Macaca fascicularis: one gene and its partners. The protein of the gene in region 2 purifies or fractionates together with the protein of the main gene of each other region. This does not show direct contact. Links are inferred from orthologs where the notes say so. Each region holds a gene or a part of one and is shown on either strand. Other genes may lie near its edges.

Region 1 (3,610 bases), about 87 Mb from region 2:
CTCAAGTCTCAAAAACAGAAAAGAACAGCCAGACTAGGCTTAGGCTATAAGGTGTTGAGAACCACATAATTACAAGTTCACCAACCTCCATGTTCTAAGCAGTTTTCCCATGGGTTTTATATTATTTGTTTCCATCTCTAGGACATAAGCAGCTGAACCACACCAGGCATTGTGACAGGTTCTCCTAACACTTTAAAGTTGACATCTTCAATTGGCACACTGAAATAAATTCTCCGAACGTGACAAAACTAAGTGGAGCAGGATGAGAGTCTGGTTGGTTTAGGTTAGAGCAATGCCCTTTTAAACACTGCCTCACAGCCAAAGGAACCCACACAAAAAAAGCCTTCCTTACAAATGAGCTAATCCTTCAATGAAAAATAGCCAGGTTATCAAGAGTATGTATTTTCTAATTTTTATTATGGGCCCACAGGCATGCCACTTAAAGGATTAGAGATTTTAAAGACATTTTACCTGAGGGAATTGCCAGTGAGCATCATCTATTTGTAGACTGGGTCAAGCTGAGGGTCCTACAAATAGCTAAGAACTTAAACTAAAGCAAAACTAGACAAATTTACACAAAGACAATTATTTAAGACCTTTATTAACAGGTGCTTGCAGTTTGTTGACTTTTTTGAAAAAATCAAGTTGTAAACTTTTATTACAAATTAAAAATGAAGTTCTTAAAAATCTCAACTTGACCAGATATGAAACAATTTAAAAACCTTTAAAGGCGTATTGAGAAAAACCAGGCTTTTTTAAAAAACACGTTTGTTATTACCAAAAAGAGACGTCTTTAGGTAAAAATAATAAAAACCCCATGCTGCATAGATAATGCAGATAGTTCTATTTATCTGGTCAACGGGCAAAAAGCAAGCACTTAAGGTCTTCAGCTCCAATCTTTTGTTCATTTCTTATTGCTGGAATTTCATATTTCTTCTTGTTGGATGACTAAACTGTAAAGAAAAAAATAAAGATGATCATGTAGAATTCATGGTAATCTTCATTTAGTGTAGTACATGCTCTAGCTTACATTACTTGTGTATTGGGAGACATTAACAGATCTTTTGCCATCCAGCAAATAGCAAAGGGGAAAAAACCAAGAGCACTACTGGTTGAATGCTAATTTCGGAGGGAAGGACAATCACACACCTCTCGATATCATGTAAAATGCTGAATGAAAAGGAATCCCTTAATTTTGGAATTAAGGGTAACAAAAACAAGTGAGCTAATAAGCCAAAGTAACAAGAACAAAAATGTATCATGTGGTCTGCCAGAGAATTACTACTATTAATCTATAGGCAGTTTAAATACACCATGATAAACCGTGAGTCATTCTCCTAGGAGTTTTTAGACACAAAACACTCTCATCTTTTTCCCGGAACAACATAAACCAACAAAAAACAATTAGAAATGATTAAAAGATTATATCGATGTTGCCACTTTCAGTGGGTTAATTCTAATAGCTATCCTACTTCTTTTTTGAAATAATGCATAAATAATAATGTAATTAACTTATTTCTCAGAATACAGCTAGCAAAACTTTCCTCCGTTTACTAGTGACATCATAAAATTCATTCAGAGAAGTTGATAGAAAGTGCTAACAGTTCAAAATACTCAAGAAAATACAGGTCTCCAGTGTCAGAATTGAGAACTAGCTGAGGGGTGGCCAAATATGACTATGATATTCAATATTCCTAAAATGAAATATTAGGTAATTAAGAACAGGGCAGAACACATTATAAATAACATGGCTTTATCTGATGGAACTGAGATTTTCCCCCTCTTGTATTAATAAAATGAAATGGTCACCACTCACAACTGTCATAAATGATGGCCATCCAAGCTTGCTTACCCGGATGATGGTAGAGATGGTAAGCCGGCATTTACTCAGCCCCGCCCTGCTCAGCCTCGGGAGCGGACGAATTCTCAGCTGGTGGATCGGCTGCTTTTGTCTCTTTGCCATCTTGTGGTTTAGGGTTTTCTGGGCGTCTGCGTCGGTAATTGAAGTTGCGGCGGTACCGACGTTGAGGTGGCTGCTGACCTTGGGTCTCATCTCCTTGATTTTCTTTATCTTCTTCATTGCCGTCCTCTCTAGGCTGTCTTTGGCGAGGAGGGCCCCTGCAATGAACAGTGTCAAATTTAAGAATGATAAAACCTTCTCTCTTCAACACACCTACCAGTGTTACCAGTTGGTTCACAACTAACTCACCATGTCTGGCCCATTCTCTGTATCAAGTGGTCTGTAGGCAATTTGTGTAAGGAGATTTTTTTTTTTTGTCAGGGGGGGTGGGTGTCGGCGGGTTGGGAGTCTTGCTTTGTTGCCCAGGCTAAAGTGCCATGGCATGATGACAGCTCACTGTGGCCTCTATCTTCCAGGCTCAAGTGATCTTCCCATCTCAGACTCCTGAGTAGCTAGGACTATAGGCAAGCCCTAATGCCTCATTAATGTCTGATTTTTAGTAGAGATATCTTGCTATGTTTCCCAGGCTGGTCTTCAATTCCCGAGCTCAAGCTATCTTCCCTCCTTGGCCTCCCAAAAAGTGCTGGGATTAAAGGGTTGCGTCTTTTAATCACCAAGATAAAGATACTAAATTTTGGGATTTTCTTTCCCCCAGTGCTCAGAAACGATGGATTCCTGGCCTTTCCTTCACCCATACCCTGAGCACTCCAGAAAGCCCCAGGCCTTTAGTATCTATCAGTTATCATGGGAATAAATTCACATTTACCTTTGTACATTCTAAAACTCTTTCCCCACATCTTTTGGAACTCATGATGAATCTTCAACAAAATTGTTCTGACTTTTCTCTGTAACCCTCCAGTGGTGACTGTTCTAACCTTATTGTGGCTTCTAAATCAACTCTCCTAGCTTCTAAAAACTGTAGGCGTTCCATCTTATTTTGGATTCTGCTCCATTTACTATCTTTTTCTTATTGCAGTTATTATTAAGGTTCGAGGATAACAGCTTCTAATAACCTGGGCTTTCAGACCGACCTCCCAGTCCAGCTGTTTTCTACCTGGGTTTTCTCAGTTATACTACCCACCTTTCCAATTATGTACCTTCTGATTTTTCCTAGTTAATTCCTTATTGTTTTCTCATTCTTCATCTAGGACCTGTAATACAGCGATCCTATCACCTGTTCATCTCACTCCAAGGTTGGGCACAGTGGCTTACACCTGTAATCCTAACACTTGGGGAGGATCACTTGAGGGCAGTTCAAGACTGCTTGAGTAACACAGTGCAACTCCATGTCTACAACACAATTTTTAAAAACCCCTCATGTTCCCCTTTTCTCCCCTCTTTATCCAAGTATAAAGTCCACCATTAATCATATGACCAATCCCTACCCCAGGGTCTAAGTCTGGATAAACCAATGCCAGAGAAATCCAACTCTCTGCCCAATCTGAGCCTGATGCTCAAATGGCTAGAAACACAGAGCCAAGCTGGGTGAACTCACTTCTAATTTATGATTGTTATCCTATTACTTACAAATTTACCATCTCTATTTTCTCTGCTACAGGGTTCTTTGCCCCAAACTTTTCAAACTTCCTCTTCTTTTGACTCAATTGAGCAAACAAAGGCTTCCATGTCTTCCCATTAAACATGTTTGCC
Region 2 (3,647 bases):
GCTATGGCTCATGCCTATAATCCCAGCTGCACTTTGGGAGGCCAAGGTGGAGGGATCACTTGAGCCCAGGAGTTCGAGACCAGTCTGGGCAACATAGGGAGACCTGTCTCTACAAAAATTAAAAATAAAAAATTAGCCGGACATGGTGCACACCTGTAGTCACAGCTCCTCGGGTGGCTGAGGTTGGAGGATCACTTGAGCTCAGGAGGTGATCAGTAAGCTGTGATTGCACCACTGTACCCCAGCCTGGGTAACAGAGCGAGACCTTATCTCAAGCAAAGTAAGGTATAACAGGCCAGGCAAGGTAGTTTATGCCTGTAGTCTCAGCACTTTGGGAGGTGAAGGTGGGACGATCGTTTGAGTGCAGGAGTTTAAGACCAGCTGGGCAATATAATGAGACTGTATCTTTAGAAAGAAAAACACGGGCAACCTGCTGGGGTCCCCTTCCACACTGTGGAAGTTTTGTTCTTTTCCTCTTCACAATAAATTCTTGCTGTTGCTCACTCAAAAAAAAAAAAAACATTTAGTCGTGTGTGGTAGCTCCTTGAGGTAGCTCCTTAGGAGGCAGCTCCTTAGGAGGCTGAGGCAGGAGGATGGCTTGAGCCCCGGAGTTCAGGCTGCAGTGAGCTACGATAGTGCCACAGCACTCCAACTTGGGCAACAGAGTGAGACCCTGTCTCCAAAAAACAATTTTAATTAAAAAAAATTTTTGTTGTTGTTGTTAAGATTGGAAATGGGACACAACCAGAAGAAAGCATCTGCAGTGGCACTTTAAACTGTTCAAGACATTCAAGTACAATATTGATTTAGCTTCAGGGTTGTGAGGTACTGTCTTTAATTAACTATTTGAAGTTGTTTTCAGACTGGGTTAACCAACAATGCTCTGGAAGAACTTAAGCATTCTTTTCATAATTTTCATTTACGTGAAGGCCCACTTCCTCACCATTATTGTGGATATTAGCATTGTCATACTGCCTAATATGACATTTTTTTTTTTAAATACTGCTTCTTTTGGAGCAGACCTAACTGACGGACAGTGTGCCTAGAGTAGCTGACTTTTATTTTATTATTATTATTTTAATTACAGAGCCTGGTTGTCTCACTCTGACAACCAGGCTGGGGTACAGTGGCGTGACCATAGCGTACTCTACATCTCTGACCTCCTGGGCTCAAGTGATCCTCCTGTCTTGGTATCTCAAAGTGCTGGGATTACAGGTGTGAGCCACAGCTCCCAGCCCTGATGTGCCTTTTTTTTTTTTTTTTTTTTTTAAACAGAGTTTCACTTTTGTCACCCAGGCTGGAATGCAGTGATGTGATCTCAGCTCACTGTAACCTCCGCCTCCTGAGTTCAAGTGATTCTCCTACCTCAGCCTCCCAAGGAGCTGGGATTACAGGTGCTCGCCACCACGCCTGGCTAATTTTTATATTTTTAGTAGAGATGGGGATTTGCCATATTGGCCAGGCTGCTCTCCAACTACTAACCTCAGGTGATCCACTTGCCTTGGCCTCCCAAAGTGCTGGGATTACAGGCGTGAGCCACCACGCCCAGCCGACATTTGTTTTAATACCTGTATCGTGTTTTTTTGAACATTGAACCTTCCATTAAGTTTGGAATCGCCTGTCAAATCCTACAGCAATTCAATTGTTTTGTTAGGATTTCTTTTAAAAATATCAACACTGGCTGGGTACAGTGGCTCACGCCTGTAATCCCAGCACTTTGGGAAGTCGAGGTGAGCAGATTACTTAAGGCCAGGAGTTCAAGACAAGCCTGGCCAAACATGGTGAAACTCCGTCTCTACTAAAAATACAAAAATTAGCTGGGCATGGTGGTGCACGCCTGTAGTCACAGCTACTTGTGAGACTGAAGCAGGAAAAACGCTTGACCCCGGGAGGCAGAGCTTGCAGTGAGCTGAGATCGTGTCACTGCACTCCAGTCTGTGCGACAGAGCGAGACTCTGTCTCAAAAAAATAAAAAAATTAACGCTATTTTAGTTATACTTACAAATAGTATTTGTTAGATATTTATTCTTATTAGTAGACATATTTTAATATTTTCTTTGCAAATCAGTTTCACACACATTAGTGCTTCCCAAATTTCCTGCCAAAGTATTCTGGTAGCAAAAGGGGAATGAACACATAAACTCTGAAAGGTTAGTATGCTGGGGGTGTGAGGTATGGATGGCCTTAGAGTTGTGGGGGCAGCTGGTCACACCTGCTCCTGAGCTGCCATGTATTTAGTTCTAGAGAAAAAAGTAAATGGTTAAAGTAATAAAAATAAATTTTAGGCCAGGCACGGTGGCTCATGCCTATAATCCCAGCACCTTGGGAGACCTAGGTGGGCGGATCATGAGGTCAGGAGTTCGAGACCAGCCTGACCAACATGGTGAAACCCTGTCTCTACTAAAATTACAAAAATCAGCCTGGCGTGGTTGCGGCACCTGTAATCCCAGCTACTGAGGAGGCTGAGGCGGGAGAATTGCTTGAACCCAGGAGGCGGAGGTTGCAGTGAGCCAAGATCACGCCACCGCACTCCAGCCTGGGTGACAGAGCGAGACTCCGTCTCAAAAAAAAAATTAACTAAAAATAAATTTTAGGCCGGGCGCACTGGCTCACGCCTGTAATCCCTGCACTTAGGGAGGCCGAGGCAGGGGGATCACCTGAGGTCGGGAGTTTGAGACCAGCCTGACCAATATTGAGAAACTCCATCTGTACTAAAAATACAAAATAGCCAGGCGTGGTGGTGCATGCCTGTAATCCCAGCTACTCGGGAGGCTGAGGTGGGAGAATCACTTGAACCGGGAGGCAGAGGTTGTGGTGAGCCGAGATCGTGCCATTGCATTCCAGCCTGAGCAACAAGAGTGAAACTCCATCTCAAAAAAAAAAAAAAAAAAGTTAATGTTTATTGAATTATTAACTTGTGTCAGAAATTTTAAGCATTTTTCTATATGCTTTCCATATTTACAGTGGCCCTAAGTGGTATACATAATTTTGTCATGAGACATATCAATTATTTGTAGATTTTAGCTGCGATAGAATATATGCTTCAGTAACAGGAATAATCAAAAGCTATCACGTTACTTAGTGCAGAATAATGTATTTCAGTTTTTAGCTAAGTTATATGGATAGATTTTCAAACTCAGTACCAACCCAGCTTCTCCTAACCGAATAAATTAGAGGCATGCAATTTGATGGTCTTGGTTGCCACTTTTGGCAGAGTATGTATACCAAGAACTGGCTAGAAATTCCACACCCCACCCACTCCTTCCTTCTTTCCTATTTTATCAGGTGAAGACACTCAGTGAAGCTTGCCTGATGGTAAGGAAACCAGCCCTAGAACTTCTGCATTACCTGAAAAACACCAATTTTGCTTATCCGGCTGTACGATATCTTCTGTGTATCCTTTCCTGCCTGCTTGGACCCTCATAAACCAATGCTTTCTCCCCTCAAATAAGGGAAAAGAAGAAATGAAAAAAAGTACTATGGAGGCCAGGCACTGTGGCTCACACCTGTAATCCCAGGAGTTTGGGAAGCTGAAGCAGGCGTATCACCTGAAGTCAGGAGTTCAAGACCTGCCTGGCCAACATAGCGAAACCCCGCATTTACTAAAAATGCAAAAAATTAGCCGGGTGTGGTAGCATGCACCTGTA
Region 3 (4,252 bases), about 100 Mb from region 2:
AGTCCATTAATTTCAAGTCAAATCATTTCACAAATGTTAATATTTCACGTATACATGGCTGCAAGGTATGACAGAATGCTTCATAAAAGCCATTGAAAATAAACTTCAAAAGTAAAATGCATCAATCAGTTAAATCCCATTAGCCTATGGGAGAAATTTCAATATGTATACCTCCAAATTTCAAATTAATAATGGGGCAATATTATTGTGCCACCTAGAGTACCAAACAGTGGGTATAAACCATCTCCTTAGTCAGATGGAACACTGGCTGGACACTGCAGATTATCTGGGGTTTAAGACGTTAACTTCTATCACGAATCTAAATTCTGACTTCCCTGTCTAAAACTTCGGGAACATCACATCTTTTATTTAAAGCGAAAAAGTAAACTTCTAACATACAAAATAACGGATTTCTTTTCAAGAGCGATAGTCCTTTTTTTTTTTTTTTTTTTTTTAACAAAATCACTGCCCTTGATTTTTCATGAACTTTAAGTTTCAGAATGATTTGGTCAAGAGTATTTCTACAGGAATAGGAAGAGAATCAAGTGGGCCTATAATCAAAGACCTAGCTGGGTCTCACCCTCATGGTTAACTACTGAGACTTCATAGCCGATGACCAGGTCCTAAAGTGGACAGAACAAGCCTTACTGGAGGTCCGTCTTTGTGGTAGGTACAGAAAACTTGGAAATGCAATTCTGTGGTTTATTTAGGGTTATTAAGAGCATGAGAATAGCCCTGCAAAGGCTGGTAAACTAGGGTTTGCAGTATGGAGTAGTAAGCAAAGCCTCTACTTCCCAGGCCCTGCACCCGGGGTGTGGAACAGACAAAAGAACGGCTCTGCCCTTGCCCTTCTCGAACTTAAAATCCAATTCGCAAAGCAGGACTTACACATATTAAATCAAATACAGCATTATGCTGAAAAGAGCCCCTGCGTGTAACAGTTGCCAATGTGTGTTATACCAGTCAAAACGATTTGAAGGAGTTTTAAACGAAAAGCTGGAGAAACATACAAGAAGGCAGATCTAAGATGGAAGAAAAGGCGTATTCGGGTTGAAATGCCAAGTTGAGGACTGAAGAAAGCATTTGGACAAAGCAGCCTCCAGGCTGGGAAGGCGAAAAGCCAAACGAGTATAGCCACCAAAGACCCAGAAAGGCCAATAGATTGTGCAGTGAGTCGGTTTAACTGAAAGGCGGTTTCCTTTTCCTCCATTTGCTCAGTCCCAATTGGAAGCGCACTGCGCGGCCTGCGCCGCGCTCTCCGCCCGGGTTCGGCGTGGGGGCGGGGAGGTAAGTACGGTAATGGGCGGGGCCGAGCGCGGGCGCGCTCCGGCTTTCCTCCTGCGCAGCGCTCCCGTCAGCGCAGGGGGCGGGGCGCCTATATTACGTGCGCGGCGCCGCCCCTGCGAGAGGACGTTGCGTGCTCGCTCGCGCCAGGCGAGTCTCCGCGTCTCCCTCGCGAACTCGGTGAAAGGAATTGGCGCCGTTCGACACCAGGCGGATCCGCTCTGCAGCACGACCCCATCTCCAGCCGCAGCCGCAGCCGCCGCCCGGGCCGAGGAGCAGCCGCAGCAGCCGCCACCAGTGGCCGAGTGAGCGGAGCCGAGTTTGAGGCAGCGCCTAGCGGTGAATCGGGGCCCTCACCATGAGTTCCTCGCCTGTTAATGTAAAAAAGCTGAAGGTGTCGGAGCTGAAAGAGGAGCTCAAGAAGCGACGCCTTTCTGACAAGGGTCTCAAGGCCGAGCTCATGGAGCGACTCCAGGCCGCGCTGGACGACGAGGAGGCCGGGGGCCGCCCCGCCATGGAGCCCGGGAACGGCAGCCTAGACCTGGGCGGGGATTCCGCCGGGCGCTCGGGAGCAGGCCTCGAGCAGGAGGCCGCGGTCGGCGGCGATGAAGAGGAGGAGGAAGAGGAAGAGGAGGAGGAAGGAATCTCCGCCCTGGACGGCGACCAGATGGAGCTAGGAGAGGAGAACGGGGCCGCGGGGGCGGCCGACTCGGGCCCGATGGAGGAGGAGGAGGCCGCCTCGGAAGACGAGAACGGCGACGATCAGGGTTTCCAGGAAGGGGAAGATGAGCTCGGGGACGAAGAGGAAGGCGCGGGCGACGAGAACGGGCACGGGGAGCAGCAGCCTCAACCGCCGGCGACGCAGCAGCAACAGACCCAACAGCAGCGCGGGGCCGCCAAGGAGGCCGCGGGGAAGAGCAGCGGCCCCACCTCGCTGTTCGCGGTGACGGTGGCGCCGCCCGGGGCGAGGCAGGGCCAGCAGCAGGCGGGAGGTAAGAAGAAGGCGGAAGGCGGCGGAGGCGGCGGTCGCCCCGGGGCTCCGGCGGCGGGTGAGTGCTGCGTTGTACGTTGCGCGCGGCGGGAGGCCCGCGCGGGGTGGGGACCGTGCCCCAGGCCTGCCGGAGCCCCGCAGGGGGAGGGAGCCCCGGGCGGGCGGGGGCCGCGGGGAGGGTGGCGGGTGGGGGAGGGGGCGCGGGGAATCCCAGATTAGCCGAGAGGCCTCGGGCTCGGGGCGTGTGTGCGTGTGTTCGTGTGTGTGTGTGTGTGTGTGACGGCGGTGGCAGCGCCTCCATTATGTGGCTCGAGAGCCGGGGGGAGCTGCAGCTGCCGCTGGAGGGGGAGGAGCCGCGGGCGGGCGGCGGGAGGGAGCCCGGTCGGCCCGCGGTGGCGCCGTCGCGCTGCGTGCGCGCGGTGCGGGCACATGTCTCGGGGGGAGGGGAGAGGCCCCAGGTCCCGGGGCGGGCGCGCTTTGGCGGCTCCTCGCCGCTGTATTGTGCAAGGAGCGCAGGGGCTCGGCGTGACGTCACTTCCTGCGGGAGGAGCCGGGCGGGGCGGGGCGGGGGGCGGAAGATCAGTACAATGCGGCCGCGGGGAGCGCGGGCCCGCGGGGGAGGGGAGCGCCGCCGCGCCGGGCTCGGCCCCTCCCCCTCCTGCGCCCTGGTCGCGATACACGTGGGCTTCGGGCCTGGGCCGCGCAGTTTTTCTTTGGGTTTCTCGAATCATCGAGGAGACTGGCAAAATTCGTAACGTCTTTAGACTGCGTCACTAGCGCTAATCCAATTCGTAGCTGATTGTTCTTCGAATTCACATTTGAGTCCTCGGTTAAAACCTCAGTTAAAAAGCAGGATAAAGTCGAGCTGCTTTGCTTCTCGGAACGGAAAAGCGCTTTTTTGTTGTTGTTTAGCGGCCTGGCCTCTTATGGGGGTCTTGTGTGTTTTAGGGGACGGCAAAACAGAACAGAAAGGCGGAGATAAAAAGAGGGGTGTTAAAAGACCACGAGAAGATCATGGCCGTGGATATTTTGAGTACATTGAAGAGAACAAGTATAGCAGGTATAGGATGCTCACCTAGTTTTACTTGTCATCCCTTATTCGTTCGTTGATCGGAAAGCTGTATCAGGAGACAATTCTGTCTTTCAGAGCCAAATCTCCTCAGCCACCTGTTGAAGAAGAAGATGAACACTTCGATGACACAGTGGTTTGTCTTGATACTTGTAAGTGAAGCTGTTTCTCCCCAATTATGAAATGCGGTGATGGTTTTTATTTTTTTTTTTTGCTTCCAAAATGTTAGAAAACTTAATGCTTAAGTGCAGCAAAAGTTGGGTTAGTTTTTTTTAAAAGCAGGAAGAGATAATGGTTTATATTCAGAACCTAGTAGTTTAATATTTAGCACGGCATCAGTTGTATCAAATGGATTATTTTACAGGCTCTAGGAGTTTCATATTTTTATGACTTGAAAGTTCTCGTTCTTAGGAAATGTAAAATTAATGCCAGTTTCTGACTAGCTAACGGAAACTTGTAACACTACCTATAATTTAGCCTTACAGGCTTCTACAATAAAGTAATTCATTTTTTTGTGGAATTATATTAAGTGAGCTATTTGGGCTAGTTAAATATTTACTAATGACTTCTCCCATTAGCACACAAGTATATTCCCTATTCTAAAAGATTGTAATATTATTTTTTCAATAACTGCTCTTTTGTTCTCAATTCCAGTTCAGTAGCTGCTGCTTTAAACATAAGTTGATTTCTTCCAAAGACCTGAGGCAGCAGCAGTGGGCTATCACTGGGCCACTAGCTTTCTTCAGCAGCGAATGGTATCAATGGCAGTGCAGCACTGTAAATACTGCTACTTCACCCAGTTGGGTTGCAATTGAGTATGAGAAAGTATTGCAAACCTCTAAGTGGGCTTTGACTGTCAGACTTGCATTTTTTTTGTTGTTGTTATAAAAAAAAGTAGTTGGTTTAGT

Evidence for each region.
Region 1: the proteins of DAP3 (region 2) and YBX1 purify together in Homo sapiens (co-immunoprecipitation; 3 studies listed by BioGRID and IntAct, with this or other methods). This does not show direct contact. The link is inferred for Macaca fascicularis from reciprocal best matches to the Homo sapiens genes DAP3 and YBX1.
Region 3: the proteins of DAP3 (region 2) and HNRNPU purify together in Homo sapiens (affinity purification with mass spectrometry; 3 studies listed by BioGRID and IntAct, with this or other methods). This does not show direct contact. The link is inferred for Macaca fascicularis from reciprocal best matches to the Homo sapiens genes DAP3 and HNRNPU.

What each region holds. Positions count from the first base shown.
Region 1 is NC_088375.1:192,169,003-192,172,612, forward strand, and holds the end of YBX1 (Y-box-binding protein 1), read right to left. Parts: intron 2,119-3,610; coding exon 1,884-2,118; 3' UTR 1,853-1,883; intron 954-1,852; 3' UTR 571-953; downstream 1-570. UniProt on the Homo sapiens protein: DNA- and RNA-binding protein involved in various processes, such as translational repression, RNA stabilization, mRNA splicing, DNA repair and transcription regulation.
Region 2 is NC_088375.1:105,380,971-105,384,617, reverse strand, and holds part of DAP3 (small ribosomal subunit protein mS29), read left to right. Parts: intron 1-3,285; coding exon 3,286-3,394; intron 3,395-3,647. UniProt on the Homo sapiens protein: As a component of the mitochondrial small ribosomal subunit, it plays a role in the translation of mitochondrial mRNAs. Involved in mediating interferon-gamma-induced cell death. Displays GTPase activity in vitro.
Region 3 is NC_088375.1:4,313,694-4,317,945, forward strand, and holds the start of HNRNPU (heterogeneous nuclear ribonucleoprotein U), read left to right. Parts: upstream 1-1,404; 5' UTR 1,405-1,642; coding exon 1,643-2,333; intron 2,334-3,223; coding exon 3,224-3,335; intron 3,336-3,422; coding exon 3,423-3,496; intron 3,497-4,252. UniProt on the Homo sapiens protein: DNA- and RNA-binding protein involved in several cellular processes such as nuclear chromatin organization, telomere-length regulation, transcription, mRNA alternative splicing and stability, Xist-mediated transcriptional silencing and mitotic cell progression.